3 linked regions of the Macaca fascicularis genome follow. The protein of the gene in region 1 interacts with the protein of each later gene in a biochemical or structural test. Links are inferred from orthologs where the notes say so. Each region holds a gene or a part of one and is shown on either strand. Other genes may lie near its edges.

Region 1 (6,643 bases):
CCTGGGGAACCTCTCTCCTCTTTTCACAGGAACAGGAGTGGACCTTCAGATCCTGGCTGACTGTGTTAGGGAGAGGACAAAATGTAGAGCCAGACCATTTGGGTTCAAATCCTCGCTCCTCCACTCAGTAGCACAATGACCTTGAATAATTTACAGAACTCTCTGCTTTGGTCTCCCTTTTTGCAAAATGGGAATCTCACAGTGCTGATCCCATCCAGTTCTTGTGAGGAGTAAATGGATGTCAGGTGCTGACACATGGTAGGGCATTTAAGTATTGGTTGATACTGTTCTTCTTGTGCCTGGGCACGGTGACACTGTTCATGGTGGTGCACGAAGGGCCAGGGAATGTGGCAACATGTTCCTGCTCTCCTTAGACAACTACCTTTCTACGGACGTGGGATCCTGCACCCTCGTCTGCCCCCTGCACAACCAAGAGGTGACAGCGGAGGACGGAACACAGCGATGTGAGAAGTGCAGCAAGCCCTGTGCCCGAGGTACCCACTCACTGCCCCCAAGGCCAGCTGCAGTTCCTGTCCCTCTGTGCATGAACCCTGGCCCAGCCCTCCCTGTCCTATCCTTCCTCAGACCCTCTTGGGACCCAGTCCTTGCCTTCTACTGTCTACCCCTGGCCCTCCTCAGCCCTACAAGCGTCCCTATGTCCTCTGTCAGTGTGGGGAGGGGCCTGGACCCTGATGCCCGTGTAGCTGTTAACCTGTCCCGGTGTGAAGGCTGAGACAGCCCCTTCCCCACCCACCCACCTCCACCCCCTCAGTGTGCTATGGTCTGGGCATGGAGCACTTGCGAGAGGTGAGGGCGGTCACCAGTGCCAATATCCAGGAGTTTGCTGGCTGCAAGAAGATCTTTGGGAGTTTGGCATTTCTGCCAGAGAGCTTTGATGGGTAAGAGTGGGCACAATGGCCTGAGACAGTGTCAGGGCAGACAGAGTCCTGAGGATCCAGATGTGGCAGCATCTCTCGGGGATGGCAGGAGACAGAAGTTGATGGGGGGGGAGGGCAAGAATGCAAAGAAAGCAGATGGGAGACCAGAGGGAGCACGGTCTTTGGGGTGGGAGGGGTTATTTTTGTAAATGACATGCTATCCGTGAACAAGGACTTGTATGGAGGTCAGACCACCTAGATAAAGTAAAATTCCCTTTGAGGCCGGGCGCGGTGGCTCAAGCCTGTAATCCCAGCACTTTGGGAGGCCGAGACGGGCGGATCACGAGGCCAGGAGATCGAGAGACGATCCCGGCTAACACGGTGAAACCCCGTCTCTACTAAAAAATACAAAAAAACTAGCCGGGCGAGGTGGCGGGCGCCTGTAGTCCCAGCTACTCGGGAGGCTGAGGCAGGAGAATGGCGTAAACCCGGGAGGTGGAGCCTGCAGTGAGCTGAGATCCGGCCACTGCACTCCAGCCTGGGTGACAGAGCAAGACTCCGTCTAAAAAAAAAAAAAAAAAAAAATTCCCTTTGAGTTCATAGCACCTTTATTCAAAATATCCCCAAATTGGAAATAACTCAAATGTGCATCACTCGGTGAAGGAATAAACAAGTATGAAGGAAAAGCAGTATGTCCATTTGGTGAAGTTCTACTTAGCAACTAAAGGAAACGAACTACTGATACAACATGAATGAATCTCAGAAACATTACATTGAGCAAAGGAAGCCAGAGACAAGATTCCATACTGTCTGATCCCCTTTATGTGAGGCTCTGAACAGACAAGACCACTCTGGTGGGAGAGATCAGAATGGTGGTTGCCCTAGGGTGGGGGGCCTCAAACGGGAGGGACATGAGGACATTTCTGGGGTAATAGAAATGTTCTGTATATTGATTGGGGTATTGGATACATGAGTGAATCCATTTGTCAAAACTCATCAAACTGTATGCTAAGAGTCTACATTTTATTTATTTTAATTTTAATTTAATTTAATTTAATTTTTTGAGATGGAGTCTCGCTCTGTCGGCAGGCTGGAGTGCAGTCGTGCAATCTCGACTCACTGCAACCTCCGTCTCCTGGGTTCAAGCGATTCTCCTGCCTCAGCCTCCCGAGTAGCTGGTGCTACTGGTGTGTGCCACCACGCCCAGATAATTTTTGTATTTTTAGTAGAGATGGGGTTTCACCATGTTGGTCAGGATGGTTTCAATCTCTTGACCTCATGATCTGCCCGCCTCAGACTCCCAAACTGCTGGGATTACAGGCGTAAGCCACCATGCCCGGCGCATTTTATTGTATAAGTTATACTTCAATAAAAATATAAGTTATACTTCGATAAAAAATGAATTGGGGCCAGGCACGGTGGCTCACGCCTGTAATCCCAGCACTTTGGGAGGCTGAGGCAGGCAGATCACTTGAGGTCAGAAGTTCAAGATCATCCTGGCCAACATGGTGAAACCCCATCTCTACTAAAAATACAAAAAATTAGCCAGGCTTGGTGGCATGCGCCTGTAGTCCCAGCTACTTGGGAGGCTGAGGCAGAAGAATCGCATGAACTCGGGAGGTGGAGGTTGCAGTGAGCTGAGATAATTTTGCCACTGCACTCCAGTCTGGGCGACAGAGTGAGACCCTGTCTCAAAAAAAAAAAAAAAAAAAAGGGGGTCAGGTGTGGTGGTGCACACCTGTAATCCCAGCACTTTGGGAGGTTGAAGCAGGAAGATTGCCTGAGTCCAGGAGTTCAAGACCAGCATGGGCAACATAGTGAGATCCCATCTCTACAGAAAACACAAAAAATTTGCCAGGCATGGTGGTATGCACCTGTAGTCTCAGCTACCAGGGAGACTGAGGTGGGAGAATCACCTGAGCCTGGGAGGTGGAGGCTGCAGTGGGTTGAGATCATGCCACCATACTCCAGCCTGGGTGACAGAAAGATCCTGTCTCAAAAAAATAAAATAAAAATTATCTTTCACACTTCCTTTACCTCCACTCTCCTTTCCAGAGGTGACCATGGTTAGCAGTGCATGTGTTCACCTAGACTGTTTATGCATCTGTAGACACACACACAGTGAAGTGTGGTTTTCATCGTTTTGGTGGGGAGGTTTGTTTCTGTAAATGGGAGCATATGGGGAGCACTGTCTGAACCTTGCTTTGAGAGCCGGTCATGACAGTTCCTGCCGAACCGCCTCGTTCTTTCAACAGCTGCAGAGCAGACGGCAGCAAGGAGAGGCAGCTAAGAACCCAGACTTGGGAGCCAGACTGCCTGGGTTTGAAACCCGGCTCTACCACTTACTAGGCATGTGACTCTTGTGCTGTGCCTCAGTTTCTTCATCTGTAAAGTGGGGCAAAAACAGTCCCAACCTCGTAAGGTGGTTATACCACCACGCCTGGCCAGATGATTATAAAGTTTGAATGAGTTAGTATTTGTAAAGCTCTTAGAACAGTGCCTGGCAGATACTAAGTGCTCCTAAATGTTGGTTGTTATTATGTGGCTGGGTGGCTCAGGGTTTTATTTAACAGCTCCCCTATTTACTAACAGACATTTAGATCATGTTCCATTTTCATTCTTACAAACAGTTCCACCTTATATGTGGCTCTGGGCCAGTGTCTCCCTAGGCCACATTCCTAGAAATAAGATTTCTTTTTTTATTTTATTTTTTTGAGACGGAGTCTTGCTCCATCTCCAGGCTGGTGTGCAGTGGTGTGATCTCGGCTCACTGCAACCTCTGCCTCCCAGGTTCAAGCGATTCTCCTGCCTCAGCCTCTCGAGTAACTGGGACCATAGGCGAGCGGCAACACACCCAGCTAATTTTTGTATTTGTAGTAGAGATGGGGTTTCACCATGTTGGCCAGGATAGTCTCCATCTCTTGACCTGTGATCTGCCTGCCTCAGCCTCCCAAAGTGCTGGGATTATAGGTGTGAGCCACTGTGCCCGGGCAGAAATAAGATTTCTAGATCAAAGGATAGAAATACTGTTTTGATAGATGTTGCCAAACTAAGGCCTGGGCTTTGAAGCCCAGGATGGGAACAGCTGGGCTTGATGGGCAAAGGGTTTGAGTGAAGGCATTCACGGTGGGGAGTGGCTGGCACGGCCAGTGTTGGGAGTGATGTCCACTCTGTTCCTGGCCCTGCTGATTCCTCTCCTGATCCCTCCAGCGACCCAGCCTCCAACACCGCCCCGCTTCAGCCGGAGCAGCTCCGAGTGTTTGAGACTCTGGAAGAGATCACAGGTGGGCTCTGTCTCTGCATCCTGCTCTGCCGGGGCTGGGAGTCCGTGTCCTGTCCCCACTCCCCTAATCTCACCCTCTGCCTGCAGGTTACCTATACATCTCAGCATGGCCAGACAGCCTGCCTGACCTTAGCGTCCTCCAGAACCTGCAAGTAATCCGGGGACGAATTCTGCACAAGTGAGTACTGGGAAAGAAGGGGCCTGATGGAGAGGAGTCCCAGGGAGGAGTCCCTGTGGGAAGCTTTGGGCCTGAGGGAGTATTCCTGTTCCCCTGGGACATAGCAGTAACCTTTCCATGAAAGTCTGCAGAGTGTGCTGGGGATGGAGGAAGATGAGAGTAGCCTTTGCTGTCCGGGAAGGGGACCATGGTAAGGTGCCCTCCTTTCTCCCATAGTGGCGCCTACTCACTGACCCTGCAAGGGCTGGGCATCAGCTGGCTGGGGCTGCGCTCGCTGAGGGAACTGGGCAGTGGACTGGCCCTCATCCACCATAACACCCGCCTCTGCTTTGTGCACACGGTGCCCTGGGACCAGCTCTTCCGGAACCCGCACCAAGCCCTGCTCCACACTGCCAACCGGCCAGAGGACGAGTGTGGTAAGACAGGGAGCCCAGTGTGTGTGCTCCCCATCTGCCAGCACACAAGAGTGCCCACGGGGTCCTGGCACCAGCGTTCTTGGACTTGTGCAGACTGCCTGTCCCTGTGCACCCTTCTTGACTCAGTGCAGCTCTGGCTGGCTTGGCCTCTTGGCATGGCTTCTCTAGCTGGGTCCCACCTGCCTTGGCATCCTTCCCTCCCCCTCTGTTTCTGAAATCTCAGAACTCTTCCTCTCCCTACATCGGCCCCACCTGTTCCCACCCCTCCAGCCCAGAGCCATGCCCACAGCCAGTTCCCTGGTTCACTTGGACCTGGGGCCTCCCCTAAAAGTCCCCTGCGGTCCCTTCCTCCTCACTGCAGTGGGCGAGGGCCTGGCCTGCCACCAGCTGTGCGCCCGAGGGCACTGCTGGGGTCCAGGGCCCACCCAGTGTGTCAACTGCAGCCAGTTCCTTCGGGGCCAGGAGTGCGTGGAGGAATGCCGAGTACTGCAGGGGTATGAGGGGCAGAGGAGAGGGGTGGCTGGAGGGGTGCATGGGGCTCCTCTCAGACCCGCTCACCACTGTCCTTTCTCTCAGGCTCCCCAGGGAGTATGTGAATGCCAGACACTGTTTGCCGTGCCACCCTGAGTGTCAGCCCCAGAATGGCTCAGTGACATGTTTTGGACCGGTGAGCTGCTGGCGGGCTCAGAGCTGGGTGGAGGGGTGCAGCGAGGGGGATTGCCAGGGACTTGGCAGGATGGCGAGACGCGGCAGGGTGTGCCGTCTGGTAAAATATCCCTGGAGAGGGCTCAGCACTCAGACCCGAACAGCAGCAGAGTGGCAGGAAAGGGGGCCCGGGGGACCCTGGGGCCCTTCAGACTATGAAAAGGTTCTAAGGAGGTCTGCGTTTGCGGCTGTGGCTGTGGCTGTGGCTGTGCTAGGGTGGTTAGCCCTGCGGGCTCAGGTGTCAGACTACCTGGATTCAGACCCAGGTCCTGCTTCCAACCTTGGTGTTTTATTCCTAAAATGGGTATTGTAATAGTACCTACCTTGCTGGGGTGTGGCGAGAATGAAATTAAACAGGGCTTGGCACAGTGAAGCCCGGGAAAGGCTTTCTATGCAGCAGTGACTGTTGTTACTCGCTGTTACACCTTAGGTAATGCGTTTTCTTCTCTGGGTGCCTCCCATTCTCTGGCTCAAGTCCCCGCCCAGGATCAAGCTTGGAGGAGGGCCCCGAGGGAGGGTCCACAGAGATTGGGTGAAGAGCAGAGGTGTTTGTCCCAGGAGCATGGTGAAAATTGCTGCTGGGTGGCCTTGGGAAGCACAAAGGGGACCCAACTAAGGGCCTGATCCTACTGCCCTGGGGGTGTCAGTGCCAGCCCCCTACAAACCTTTTCTGCCCCTCCCAGGAGGCTGACCAGTGTGTGGCCTGTGCCCACTATAAGGACCCTCCCTTCTGCGTGGCCCGCTGCCCCAGCGGTGTGAAACCTGACCTCTCCTACATGCCCATCTGGAAGTTTCCAGATGAGGAGGGCACGTGCCAGTCTTGCCCCATCAACTGCACCCACTCGTGAGTCCGAGGGTCTTTTCTGCAGAAAGGAGGACTTTCCTTTCAGGGGTCTCTCTGGGGCTCTTACTATAAAAGGGGACCAACTCTCCCTTTATCATATCTTATTTCTGATGGCAAAAATAACACATTGTTGGGGCCGGGCACGGTGGCTCACGCCCATAATCCCAGCACTGTGGGAGGCCGAGGCGGACAGATGACCTGAGGTCAGGAGTTTGAGACCAGCCTGGCTAACACGGTGAAACCCCATCTCTACTAAATAATATAAAAAATTAGCCGGGTGTGGTGGTGGGCGCCTGTAATCCCAGCTACTCGGCAGGCTGAGGCAGGAGAATGGCATGA
Region 2 (6,643 bases), on another chromosome or scaffold:
CCTGTTCTTCTGAAATCCAGGATGCATATTTCCTTCCTCTCCTGTTACATACCCTTGGATGACCAGATGACCCGAGCCCTTTATCCCTAAGTTCCTATCTCATCCTCATCACCACCCAGCAGTTCTTCTGGATTAGGAGCTGGTCACTCCACGTGAGCAGGTTTGTCCCTTTCTCTGAGAGCTGAAATTTTCAGGATGTCCCATTTGTGCTCACCCATATCATGCGTTTAGTAGAGCAGGACTTACAGCAGGCATATGGCTTGTCTTCCACCCAGCTTGCGGCTTGCTCCCTCTGGTCTAGAAAGACACATCCTTTCAGAAGCCATCTCCCTGGTCAGCTTTCCCTTCTGGAAGCCTCTTCTGGAAACCACACTTGGGGCCTGGAAAATGAGAAACAGGCCCCACTCAGGCCTGCGAATCCCTGAGGTCGGAGCATTCTGAGTTCTTCTGGCAGCATCTGCCCAGGGTCTCGTCGCCAGCAGCATGTTGCCGGCCTCCCAGCTTCAGTGACCTTCGTTGTCCATTGACGCTTCTCAAGAAGTGCTTCTTCCCTCCCTACATACGCTCAGCTTTGCATATGTTACTGTTTAATTTAACCACAGCCCTAGGAAGGTGCATTTTCTTGTCATTCCAGAGTATTATCAGCCTGGCTAAGGGCTCACAGGCCTGTTGTGTCATTCCAGCTCTGCCCCAGTTCTCTCTGTGTGATCTGGCACACATTGATTCATTCTCTGAGCCTCAGTTTACTCATCTGCAAAACAGAGACAATCATAGTACCTACCTCATAGGGTTGTTTTGAAGCCAAGGTAAAGCCATGTTCATGAAAGGCACCATTCAGTGCTTAGCATCTACAGTTCTGAAGATATGAGGCTTCAGCATCATCACCCCTCATTGCAGCAGCATTAATGTGGAGACTGAGGCCCAAAGGAGTTAAGTAATTTGCCCGAGATCACTAACCAAATATGTTTAGTAGAATTTATTAACCAAGGTTGAAACTCAGGATTTCCATAGACTTGTTCTTTCCACTGCACCCCCAATTTTTTCAGATCCAAATTGAGCTGCAATCTGTATTTGGTCAGAGGTAAAGAGAGAGTCTAGTACTGGTCAGATTCACTGTGGAATAAGGGAAACCTCTCTGGCAGTACAGATATTCGTAGTTCTGCCTTGCATAGGTTGATCTCGTCAGAGAATATCTTCCCTGCAGTTATCTTGTGGGCAGGACCATTGGGAGCCTACAGGGCAGGGATTTATCCTTCCTGTGCAGATGAGGATGCGAGAGAGAACTTGTGTCTGTCAACTCTGCCTTGGGCCCCACAGCCCTTAACCCCTCATGTCTAAGCAAAGTCACAAAATGGCTACTAGCCGAAATTACCCATGTTTAAGGTTTCCAAGTAAATTCTTAACTCCAGCTTTCTGATGGCATACTTTAATTTCAAGTATTCAGTGTGACATTTGAAAGTAAGAATAGAGAGGCTGTTTCCCAACAAATTACACATGTCTTTTGGTTATACCACTTTTCCACCATGAACAAATGTAATTCTTACTTAAGTTGCTATAACCACATACAGGCTTGGGGGAAAATGCTTGTTTAATAAGTTAGGATCTAAATGACAAAAGGATCTATGATGGGATGGACAGCCTAGCCCTGAAGTTTGCTTAGAAGCCAGAGGCAGGTGCTAAGATGGCTTATAGGACAAGCTGCAGGTTTTAGAAGCGGGGATAGAAATTGGGGAGGGTGGTGGGATCAGCCCATCTGTGGGGATAGCACAGCCATATTGAAAGACACTGGGGTGCCATAGGAAGAGTGCTGGCCTGCATCACTGCAGCCCCATGGCCTTGGGCAAGTCACTTAATCCCGAGTAGCCCTGGGTTCCTTGTCTGCTGTGTGGGATATCACCTCTTTAGGGCATCACCTAAGAAAGCCTTCAGGGGCTTCGGAGACACTTCTCCAGTGAGAAAGGTATTCATCTCGATTTGGGAGTCCCTTAATCTGGGTTTTTGTGGAACCTCATCACTCTTACTCAAGCTGGTATATAACCCATGACAGCAGCAGAAGTAATGGCCACCCCTGGCCTGCCCCCCACAGCGGCTAAGCTCTGCACACCCATGCCAGCCGCCTCACCAGCATTGAGGCAGGAGCCATCGCCATCTTTCTGGTGGAAAACAGGAAAATCAGAGAGGTTAAGCAACTGTTTCGACATCATCTGGCTGACAAATGGAGGAGGAAAGGATCCCAGCGGAGTTGTGTGTGACACCAGATGTGTGCCCTTAACTGCCATGCCTGGAGGCCTCCCCTTCAAAAGGGTGGGGAGGATGGTGGAGGAAGGGTGCAGGATGAGGGGCCGTTGGAGGCGGGGAGGGGCATGAGGGGCTGCGGTCGGGGAGGGTAGAGAGGTTGCTCACAGGCCAAGGTCCTGCATCTGAGGCCACTGGTGCTGAAGACGCTGCGTCTCTCGTCCTCCTCCTCCAGGCTGCAGCCTGGGGCTGAGTGGAGACCTATGGCCTGGTCCCTGGCAGGCTGCCCCCACCCCGCCCTGAGAAACAGCTGATGGACTTGGCTGAGTTTGTTTTCTCCCATCAGCTCTCTCGGGTGTGCATGAGAGGATGCCTAACCTGTCCGCCTGTCCAGGGTTAACTGCTTGCATGGACACCCCACAGAGGGAGCTCACATATACTCTCGGTGGTTCCTTACAGACCAAATGTCACCAGTACTGGCCGGATCCCCCCGACGTCATGGACTACGGCAGCTTTCACATCCAGTGTCAGTCAGAAGACTGCACCATTGCCTATGTGTCCCGAGAAATGCTGGTCACAAACACCCAGGTGAGCCGCAGCCTGAGGGGCACAGTGGAGGGGCAGGTGCTGAATCAGCGGCTGCTGTCATTTCAGGTGGTCACGCTTCTAGGTGTGTCCTCTGTTTCCATCTGGTGTCAGTAAGCGCGCAAGACTGCCCATCAAACACCTGAGGCCCAGAGTTCATAGTGGCCCTAGTCACAACAGGCAGGAGGTGCAAACAGCCCAGCATCCATCGACGGAGGAATGGATAAACCGCACATGGTCTGTCCATACAATGGAATATGATTCAGCCTTTAAACGGAAGGAGATTCTGACCCCTGCTACAACATAGGGCAACTTTGAGTGTATTATGCTAAGTGAAATAAGCCAGACATAGAAAGACACATACTGTAGGATTCGACTTCTGTGAAGTGCCTAGAGTAGTCCATAGAGACAGAAAGTAGAACAGCGGTTGCCAAGGGCTTGGGGAAGGAGGAGAAAGGAGATCTATGGACATTATGCCATATGGCATAATGAGTGCGGGGTTTATGTTTGTGGGATATTTTAAAGTTCTGGAAATAGGTAATGGTGATGGCTGTACAGCATTGCAAGTATTCTCAGTGCCGCTGAACTGTACATTTACATGTGGTTACAGTGGTAAGCCTCATGTTAGTGTATTTTGCCACAGTTGGAAAAAAACAAAAACAAAAAAAAAACAGTGAGCATGTGTGGCCCCTAATGGCAAGTACCATAGGAGCAAATGGAGGAGATCTGGGCAGAAGTGATCAAGGAAGGCAGCCCTGCAGGACAGGCCCACAGCGGAGCCTGAGAGGGGATGGGGATCTTTGGGGAAGGAGGGAAGGAATTGCTAGTGGCCACAGCGGGGCTGTGCACAGAGGGAGAAAGCATCAGGAGACAGGGCCACCCTTGTGTCTGGGTTGGGGCTGGGTCCTCATGCTGACCACCAGGATGGGCTCACCAAGGCCACTGCGTCTCCCACAGACCGGAGAAGAACACACAGTGACACATCTCCAGTACGTCGCGTGGCCTGACCACGGTGTGCCCGATGACTCCTCTGACTTTCTGGAATTTGTAAACTATGTGAGGTCTCTGAGAGTGGACAGCGAGCCCGTCCTAGTTCACTGCAGGTATGGCGCTTGCTGTTTTGTTAGGTTTGGAATCCTTTCCCCGTTGGAAAAGGCCTGAAGAGAATTGGCAGGCGCCAGACCCACCCTACATCCCACAAAATAGTGTGCCCTTACAAACCTCTGTTGACTGTGGTTCTTCACCATTTCAAAAGTGATTTGGAATTTTATGAAATCCTAACTTTGTGAATGTAGCACAGAACTGAAGAAGAAAGTCCCCTCACACACCTTTCTCCTGTCCTTCTGTCAGCTGACCTTCGTCATAGGTGTGTGTGAGAAAGAGAGTGGGTTTGGCACTTCACAGTGGCCCTCTTTCCACTGCCTGCTAGGCCCCAGCCTCGGATGTGTGAGGAGAGGCTGTCTCAGCCTGTTTGAGAGCACACCCTGAGTGTGTGTTTTGTATTCTCAAAGGCTAGGGGAGGAAAGTCCCTTTGGAGTCAGTGGGGAACTGCTCGCTGGGCCACGCGAAGAAAAGGCTACTCAGTCAAATCCCAAGTCTCTCTTCTGTCCCCTCTCCAGTGCTGGAATAGGTCGAACCGGTGTGTTGGTCACTATGGAAACAGCCATGTGCCTAACTGAGAGGAACCTGCCCGTTTACCCACTGGATATTGTCCGAAAAATGCGAGACCAGCGCGCCATGATGGTGCAGACATCAGTGAGTAGAAATCCAGTAATAACAGTGGCTGGCGCTTTCTGAGCACTTACACCAGGCAGGCCTGAGAGAAGGGCTTTGTGAGTCAACAGACTGCAGCTCAGGGGGACTGAATCACTTGCCCAAGGTCACAGATCTTATCAGCGGCTACAGCCCACACCCATCTCACCTCTGAGCTCTGCTGCCTCTGTGGTTTATTTCCTGCCAGCCCGTCTGTCAGAAAACAGCCCTGGTTGCATTCTGTATCATTGAACAATTATTTGTCCATCACCCCCCCCCGCCACCTAGACCTGGGTACCCCTTTTGGCTCAGTGGATGTTGCATATGACCCTACTTTGAGCTCTGGCCCACTCGTGTGGTGCTTGAGTAGCTGCAGTGTCCTCCACGGGCAGGACAGAGCTCAAAGTAGGGTCATGTGCAACATCCTCTTGTCCTCAAGAGGAACTCTTGGGGATTTCCCCTGGAATTGCAAGCGGGGCAGTGAAGCGGTGTGGAAAGAGCATGATTAAGGCCGCACCACAAATGGAACAACCTTTGCATAAGTCCTGAACCTTTCTCCAAGCTTCAGCTTCCCTGTGCAAAATGGGGACCATCCCACATTCATCCATTCATTCATTCATTCATTCATTTGACAAAGAATGGTGCAGAGACTGAAGCTTGTATCTAGTATGAGAACTGGATTAGTCTATGCTAAGTGTCAGCAGCAATGAGGGAAGTTGAGGGCTGTCTGAGAACATGGTGGAAGAGTTACCTAAAGCAGGATTGGAAGGTCTAAGAAGGCTTCCTAGAGAAGTGGCCTCTCTGGCAAAACCCCCAGGATACGTGAGGAGTTAGCAAAGAAAGGAGCAGGAGCTGTATGTTCCAACCAGCTGTGTCTCTTCACTGGCTGTGGACAAAGTTTATAAGATTTCCCTGATAGATCTTAAGCTTTGGTAGTGTTATATTAGTTTGTACCCAGAAAATCTTAAGAGAAAAAAAATCGGCTTATGTTATTAGGGCCATTCTCTGCCTTGTTTTTTGCTATGGAAGACCTCGTGACTGGTTAAAAAGAAAAAAGTTCATCATCCTGGAAGATTTTCCCAGCTGGAAGCCGGGCACGGTGACTCACGCCTGTAATCCCAGCACTTTGGCAGGCTGAGGGAGGTGGATCACTTGAGATCAGGAGTTCGAGACCAACCTGGCTAACGTAGCGAAACCCCATCTCTACTGAAAATACAAAAATTAGCCAGGCATGGTGGCATGTGTCCATAGTCCCAGCCACTTGGGAGGCTGAGGCAGGAGAATTGCTTGAGCCTGGGAGGTGGAGGTTGCAGTGAGCCAAGATTACGCCACTGCACTCCAGCCTGAGTGACAGAACAAGACTCGGTCTCAAAAACTAGATAGATCGATGGATAGATAGATAGATAGATATTGATTGACTTTCCTAGCCGGAGAATGAATAGATAGATAGATAGATAGATAGATAGATAGATAGATAGATAGATAGATAGATATTGATTGACTTTCCTAGCCAGAGAAGCTCAGACTAAATGCTTTTTTGCCCCCCTGTATACTTTGCTATAATGTTTCTTAGGTATTTGCTAATATAAATAAGTGTATCCTGCAGAGCCTCTTTCAGTGGCTCTGCTTTGTAAAACAATCCAGACTCTTTACCCCAGCACAAGGTGCCCACAACTAGGTCCCAGCCCACCTGGGCAACCCCTCCTCCTCCACATGCCCAGGTGTTGAGTCCAAGAGCAGGCTCACTGACCCCATTTCTCAAAATGGGCTCTTACTGGGGCTTCCACACTTCCACTTACAAGAATGGCCGCTCTGCAGGGACCTTTGCTCCTTCCCAACTCCCCCGGACTGCCAGTTCCTCCCTCTGTCATGTTTCCATGACACTTTGTCCATCTCTCTCTGGGAGTGCCCCCTCCCCGCGTCATAATGGAACTAGGGCTTCACAGGTGTACCTGGCCTGTGGCCCAGAGTTGGCGCTCAGGGAATGTTTACAAATGCTGCAAAAGACCCACCGGTACAGGGTGGGAGGCAGCATTTCCTGAAGCTACAGGACTTGACAGCTTTTTTTTCT
Region 3 (6,743 bases), on another chromosome or scaffold:
TTTTTTTTTTGAGACAGGGTCTTGCTCTGTCACCCAGGCTAGAGTACAGTGGTACGATCATGGCTCACTGCAGCCTCAATCTCCTGGGTTCAAGTTATCTTCCCAGTTCAGCCTTCCCAGTACCTAGGACCACAGGTGCATACCATCACATCTGGCTAATTTTTAGGTTTTTTTTTTTTTGTAGAGACAGGGCCTCACTGTGTTGCCCAGGCTGGTCTCAAACTCCTGGGCTCAAGTGATCCTCCTGCTTCAGCCTCCCGAAGTGTTGGGATTATAGGCATGACCCACCATGCCCTGCCTCCCTGTCTCATTTTCACCTGGCAACCATTTCCCCAGGCTTCTAAACTCTCCATAGACAACTCTCTCCTCAACACACATGCTGGGTTAGGGGCCTCACTCTGGGCCCTGCAGCCCCTGTACTTGCCCATCCCTGACTCCTCTAAGTTAGAGACCAGAGACCAGCCTTGGTTTTTTCACTGCTGTATCCCAGCATGTAGCGCAGACCCTAGCACATAGTAGATGCTCAATAAATGACCACTGCAGGAGGAAGGATGAGTGCAGCCCAGCCAAGGGCCAGGGGGTGGGAACCTTCCAGGCAGAGGGATCAGCACGTGCAAAGGCCTCAGGACAGGGACTGCTTGTGAAGGGACAGCAGGAGGCAGGTAGAGGAGGGGAGGGGACCAGGGCCTGCACAGCAGGACATCTCTGCGGAAACTGTGAAGTGCAGTGCCAGGGGAGGTGCCAAGCCCATTCCACAGCCTCAGGCTAGAGCCCATCCCTCACCCAACCCTATCCTGTAGCCCTGAGCCCGGTGGCTTCAACTAGACCACTCACAGCACACCATGTGGAGAATGGCGGAGCTGGTCTGGAATTTCCCACTGAGGCCTGTGATGGGTCCAGTTTCCTGGCTGCTGCAGCAAGGGTGAGCTGGGCTGGGGCTGGGCATGGCAGATCAGCCACCATTGAGCCAGAGGCACCAGGGCACTAGGTGTGGTGTGGGCAGCACCTCTAATCCCATGTGATGGGACAACTCTGACTGGTGGGTTCACTGCCTCACCCTACCTCCTCCACCCTCCCCTCAGTTGTGGCTTTGACCCACCCAGGTTGAGGGAAGGAGGGAAGAGGAGGTTTCTGGAGACAGAGGACTATACGACCAGCACTCACCATCTCAGCAATATTGATGTCAGTAGCATCTATCATCTGCTGGGTGCTTTTGGGTTGGGAAGTGGTTCCTGTTGGTGTTCTAAGACTGGTCTGGGGCCATGTATACAGTTGGTAGTCAATAAATGCTTGCTGTCCATTAATGATGATTTGCAGGAATTAAGCAGTGAGTTGCTGCTTTACCAACAAAGAATGTTTTAAGCAAAATAATTTGCACAAAGAGTCACTTGTCCACCAGGCCAGACCCGCAACTCCCAACTGCATAATCCTGGAGCTTGCCAGGGTTGTTACCCTCGTTTTACTGATGAGTACACTGAGGCCCAGAGAAGGCAGGTTCACATAGTCACTGAAGGGAAGAGCTGGAACTTGAACTCTTGTCTGTAGGTCCTAAGTCAGTGTGTGCTGCCTGGCCAACTGGGCAGTGCCTGCTCTGTGCTGGGCATGGGCCAGGCCTTGGTCACTGCCTTCAGGGTGGGGACAGACACACTCAGAATGGACTTGGCACGTGCCTCCATCAGGGTGTGTCAGGAAGCATGTTGTGGAGAAGGTGGCATTTACTCTGGACTTTGAAGAACAAGGCGAGGTAGCCAGGGACAGGGGCTGAGCATTCCTGGCAGGGGTTACAGCCTGAGCAAAAACCCAGAGGGGTGGTTAAAAATAAAGAGCGCTTCAAACGCTCAATAATGAAACCATTGTGCTGGCCACATCCTCCTGAGAACCTCAGCCACTGAGCCAGGCCCTTGAAGCCCGCGGTAGCTTCAGGTGCGAAGCTGCATCTGCCTGCAGAACCCTTACTTGTCTGAGTTGCCTCCTCTCTGATAAGAGCGTGTAGGGTATGAATGAGAATGAGATTTCACATGTGCTGAGCGGGCATCACCTCATTTCATCCTTACGTGCGTCTTCTGGGGGCTGTGATATCTTTAGCCCACTGTTCAGGTTGGCATACTGAGGCTTCTTACATTATCTGCAAAGTGGCAGAGTTGAGACTTGAACCTGGGTCTGGTCCAAAATCTGTACTTTTAAGCTCTCTGTCATCCCAGTTCTCGAAAAGCCCAGAATTTTCTGTTGAACTCCTGGGGATGAATTTAGTGATGTGCTGGTACATATTGAACAACCAGCTCTGTGGAAGAAAAAAGAGGCTTCATTGGTAGCGTATTCTGATGTCCAAGGGGTAAATACTCCCACTGTGGCTGACATGGAGCTAACCAGTGTGACATTCTTGAATATGGACTTGGGAAGAGATGAGCACAGTCGGTTCTTGCAAGTAGGCAAGGGCCAGCTCCAGCGTGTCACTGGGTGACTATACCTGCCTCCCCCCGAGCCCCGTACGGCCAGTAAAGGCCTTTAGACATGTCTAAGGAATGGAAGAGGGCTGAGAAACCTGCTTCTCCAGCCGGGGGCCCGCCTAGCCCTGAGAAGCTGCGGTTAATCTTTAAGCCAGCCTTGCAAACAAGGGCAGCCATTTCGCCTGGCTTCTGCTGTTGACTGGCTGTGGCACCTCAAGCAGCCCCTTTCCCCTTTGGCCTCAGTTTATCACCGGAAGAGCTACTATTCATCTAGCACAACCCGACCATCCTCACACTGGTCAGTTTCAGCCTTCCCAGGAATCTTCTCTGGCCACGTTCACTCCGGTTTTACAGGTGAGGGGGCTGGGCTGGGAAGCTGATGGACTTGTCCACCCCACAACAGAGGGGCAGCTAGCCTAGATGCGAACCTAGATCAGTGTAGAGTAAGGCTTTGCTCATTCCTGGTCTCCTGGAAGGTATTTTGTACCCAGAGGTCTTTGCCTTCCACATTCTAGGGTGCTCCTCCCGGCTCCTCTCAGTGGGGACCTTTGCCCAGGGAATAGAAGCTTGGCAAAGGCTTCTATTTGTCTTTGACCTGGCTGGGCCTTAATTTCCCATCTGTGAAATGGGAGAACTTTCAAAGAAGGAACATGGAGGCAGGTGTGATATTTAAAGCAGGACCCAGGTCCACCTTTCCCTGTGCTAGGATTCCAGGACAGGTGAGGAGCCAAGGGTGGGGTGCCCAGCCCCAAAAGGATAGCCCTGGAGCCTGTGCCAGGGGGTGATGGGGAGTCTTTGTGGCCTAAAGCAGCGTTTCCTCAATGTCCCGTTTTTCTGCTACACTTCCTGCCCTGGTTCAGAGATACTTAGCCTCTTTACTTACTTGGAAGTGTGAGTGCCACTCCGATGCCCTGGCCAACCCCTCCTAAGCAGTAATAACTGGAACTAGGGTACTTCCAATGGGCTGCCAGGGATGTTTTTTCCTTACGCACTTTTTAAAATGAACCCACAACTATTAAAATAAAGGTCGCTCCTCCCCACCCTGTCCCTCCTGCCCCAGCCCCCACTTTGAGAAACTCAGGTCAAGGTTAAAGTCCAGGGCCTGGTTCTTGTCAGTGCCTCAGTTTCCCCATCTGTAAAGTGGGGCGATCTTCCGCCACTCAGGCCAGGTGGTGGTTAGGATTAAACCCTGAAGTCGACCTGAGCACCTTAGCCTGGCGCCTGGCCCAGAGCGGGCGCTCCACGCCCGCTGATATTATTACTAATTGTGATTTCGGGAGAGGCAGATTTGGGGCGTAGAGGGTGGGTGGGTCGAGGAGGGCATTTTGGCCTGGGGGCGGATGGGGCCCGCGGGGTGGGACGCCCTGGCGGAGTGGGAGGCGGGGCCTCTGTGCCCGGTGTCCCCACCCCGCCCGGACCCCGGCCGTGCCTGGGTCTCTCCCGGGTCACCGGCGGGGAATCCGTCCCCGCGCGCTTCCTCCTTCCTCCTCCTCCCGGCTGCCTGCCGGGCCCCTCCTCCCAGCTCGCGCGCTCCCTCCCTCCTCTTCCCCTCCCCGGGCCGCCGCCGCCTCCTCCTCCTCCTCCTCCTCCCTTTCTCTCTCGATCTGTCTCTCCCAGCCCGGAATCCATTCCGGCCTGGGAGCCGGAGCGGCCAGGCCGCCGTCTGCCCTACCCGCCGGCCGTCCCGCGGTCCGCCCTTCCGTGCGTCCGTCTGCCGGTGCGCCCGCCCGCCCGCCGGCCCAGGTGAGCGCCCCCCGCCCCTCCGCGGGCCCCCAGTCCCGGCCAGCGCGGGGGAGCCCCCGCCCTGGACCACCTGGGTCGGATCGCGGGCCCGCGGGGGCTCCTGTCCACCCCCCAATTCCCACCCCCCGGGCCGAGCTGCGATACCCGAGCGCCGGGCGGGCGCACAGGGCCATGCCCAGCGCGGCCTTTTGTTGTGATGCCGCGGGGGGAGGGGACTGGGCGGGGGGACGCAGGGGTCCTGGCTGCGTGGGGACCCCCTCCAGCTAGTGCTCCCCATAGGATCCCCCAGAGAAGCGGGTGAGCTGGGCCCTAGCCCCCGGGCCAGGTCTAGGCCAAATCTGAAATCTGAGCCAGTCGGCGCCGCCTCTGGCTGGGCTGCCCGGTCCTGCGCCCCCCGGCCCAGGGTGGGAGGTGGAGGGGCTCGGCAGGGCAGGCTGAGGGGCCCCGGAGTCAGGGCGCCAGGCCGAACCACCAGGACCTCCCTGCCCTCTTGGGGCCTCGGGTAGGGCCTGGTGCTGCCGGCCTGGAAGGGACTGGGCCAGACTGCGTTTAGTCTCCACTGCCCACAGCCCCCAGCCTCGCCCCAGAGCAGGCCCAGCCACCAGCCGGCTCAGAAGTTGGCAAAAGTTTTGGGTGTTGGCCACCGGGCCAGGTCCACCTGTCTGCCTGGGCTGGGATTGGGGGTGGGTTTGAGTCCTGCACCAGGGCTGCCACTTGCCCTGCTGTGTGTCCTCAGACAACTGCCTGCCTCTCTGAACTGGGGTCCTCATTGGTGGCAGGTGGGCCTGGCTGGAATTGCTGGGCTGGTGGAAGGATGGGGTGAACAGAAGGGGCTCACCTTTGTGGTATCCTTTCAGCACCTGTGTCCTTCAGGTGGACTTAGGAGTGGACAGAGCCTGTGTGTGCCCCTGGGCAAGGCCTCCTGAACTTCATGGACTCTGTACAATTTGGGGCAGTGGTTGCTGGGTCACCTGGGGTAAGTCCAGGCCCAGCCACAGCCACAGTGCAGCTGGGATCAGACTTGGTTTCTAGGGTGGGCCAGGCTGGTCCTTTTGCAGACCCTCTTCTCAGCCCCCTGGCTGGGGAGTCAAGGCACTGAGGCTTCTTGTCTTGCCCAGTGACCTGGGCCAAGAGACTGCCCCACTAAGTCCCCATACGTGAAATGAGAATCCTCAGGTGAAGATTCTAAGCGCTTCTGCAGGTAGAGGCTTGGCATGTAGTAGATGCTCAATAAATGAATTGTTCACTGGACGCATTGGCTGAGAAAGATAAGTGAGATGTGAGGTTGCTGGCTAGTTCATCCTAGAAGAAGATGGGTTGATGCCTTGAGAAAGAAACAGCCCTGGCACCATCCTGCCAGCCAGCAGCTGGGTGACTGTAAGCAACTCACTTTTCCCTTCTGGCCTCAGTTTTGCCACGTATAAAACTGGGCCAATGGTAATGACAGCTGCCAACATCTACTGAACACCTTTTAGGAGGTAAGGACTCTTGTTTATCCTCATTTTGCTGATGGGGAAACTGAGGCTAAGAGAGGGGAAGTGACTTGACCAAGGCCATACAGATGCAAGCTGGAATGAAAGCCCCGACCTCAGAGACCACAGTCTGGCTGCCCTTGCATCCCTCCAGTGATGGGGCAGCGGAGGCTCCCCAGACAGGACTGCGCACACAGCAGGGCCGGAAAAGACTGTTGTGCCGAGGGATTGAATGAAAGCCACGAGGCCTTTTTGGTGATGTGGTGATGTGGTCTTTCCACCCAAGGAAATGATTTACAGTGTGTCACCTCTCTCAGCTGACTGCCTGCCTAGGCCCTCCCGCGTGCCCCTGGGCCTTTGCTTCTAAACAGTGTCCCTCCCGGAGTGCCCTCTCCTCCAGGTGCTGCTTATCTACCCTTGCCCCACCAGGCTTAGCTTAGGCCCATCTCTTCTAGGAAGAAGGGCCCTGGCTGTCTCTCCCTGTCCCCTAGCTCTTCTTGGAGCATGACTTACCCACAGCTCAGCCTGGTTCCTGCTTTTGCTTCTCTGATTGTGACCTGGGGGGTGGGGTGGAGGGATGTCTGGCTCCCTCAAGCCCCAGGAACCGGAGAGGAGATGGCTCGGTGACCTGTTGAGGGACCTTATGCCCATCTCTCTGGTCCTCAGCTGACCCCATTTTCTCAGACCTCCCCATGTATAAGCATTTGTGACCCCTGTATTGAGCACCTGCTGTGTACCAGGAACTTGGAACTGGGGCTGAGCAGTATTGTGCTGGAGTTAGTAGGGAGTGGGAGCTGTGGGAGTCTTGGAGGCTTCTAGAAGGTGGCAGGGCCTGAGCTGAGGACTAGCAAGAGTTCACTCAGCAAAGAAGGGGAGAGGGAGCTCTTTTTCCCTTCCCAGGGGCCCTGGGGTGGTGGGGTGTGGTCAGCCTGGTTGGATACTTGCTGGGAGCCTGGGAACAGGTCCTTGGCCTCCCATAAGTTTGAATCTGGAGGGTGAGCAAAGTTGCAAACAAGTTGCCAGTTGAGTTACTGTATAATCACAGATATGATAAGGGCTCAGGGAGAGAGGCCTGGGGTAC

What was found.
Region 2: of the proteins of ERBB2 (region 1) and PTPN3, one has a biochemical effect on the other in vitro, tested with the Homo sapiens proteins (2 studies listed by IntAct, with this or other methods). The link is inferred for Macaca fascicularis from reciprocal best matches to the Homo sapiens genes ERBB2 and PTPN3.
Region 3: the proteins of ERBB2 (region 1) and SRC form a complex in vitro, tested with the Homo sapiens proteins (3 studies listed by BioGRID, with this or other methods). The link is inferred for Macaca fascicularis from reciprocal best matches to the Homo sapiens genes ERBB2 and SRC.

The regions. Positions count from the first base shown.
Region 1 is NC_088390.1:60,773,732-60,780,374, forward strand, and holds part of ERBB2 (receptor tyrosine-protein kinase erbB-2), read left to right. Parts: intron 1-374; coding exon 375-494; intron 495-772; coding exon 773-899; intron 900-4,088; coding exon 4,089-4,162; intron 4,163-4,248; coding exon 4,249-4,339; intron 4,340-4,555; coding exon 4,556-4,755; intron 4,756-5,116; coding exon 5,117-5,249; intron 5,250-5,331; coding exon 5,332-5,422; intron 5,423-6,143; coding exon 6,144-6,304; intron 6,305-6,643. UniProt on the Homo sapiens protein: Protein tyrosine kinase that is part of several cell surface receptor complexes, but that apparently needs a coreceptor for ligand binding. Essential component of a neuregulin-receptor complex, although neuregulins do not interact with it alone.
Region 2 is NC_088389.1:48,730,344-48,736,986, forward strand, and holds part of PTPN3 (tyrosine-protein phosphatase non-receptor type 3), read left to right. Parts: intron 1-2,694; coding exon 2,695-2,823; intron 2,824-3,777; coding exon 3,778-3,923; intron 3,924-4,439; coding exon 4,440-4,575; intron 4,576-6,643.
Region 3 is NC_088384.1:93,452,113-93,458,855, forward strand, and holds the start of SRC (proto-oncogene tyrosine-protein kinase Src), read left to right. Parts: upstream 1-2,618; 5' UTR 2,619-2,801; intron 2,802-4,074; exon of another isoform or gene 4,075-4,190; intron 4,191-5,047; exon of another isoform or gene 5,048-5,166; intron 5,167-6,743. UniProt on the Homo sapiens protein: Non-receptor protein tyrosine kinase which is activated following engagement of many different classes of cellular receptors including immune response receptors, integrins and other adhesion receptors, receptor protein tyrosine kinases, G protein-coupled receptors as well as cytokine receptors.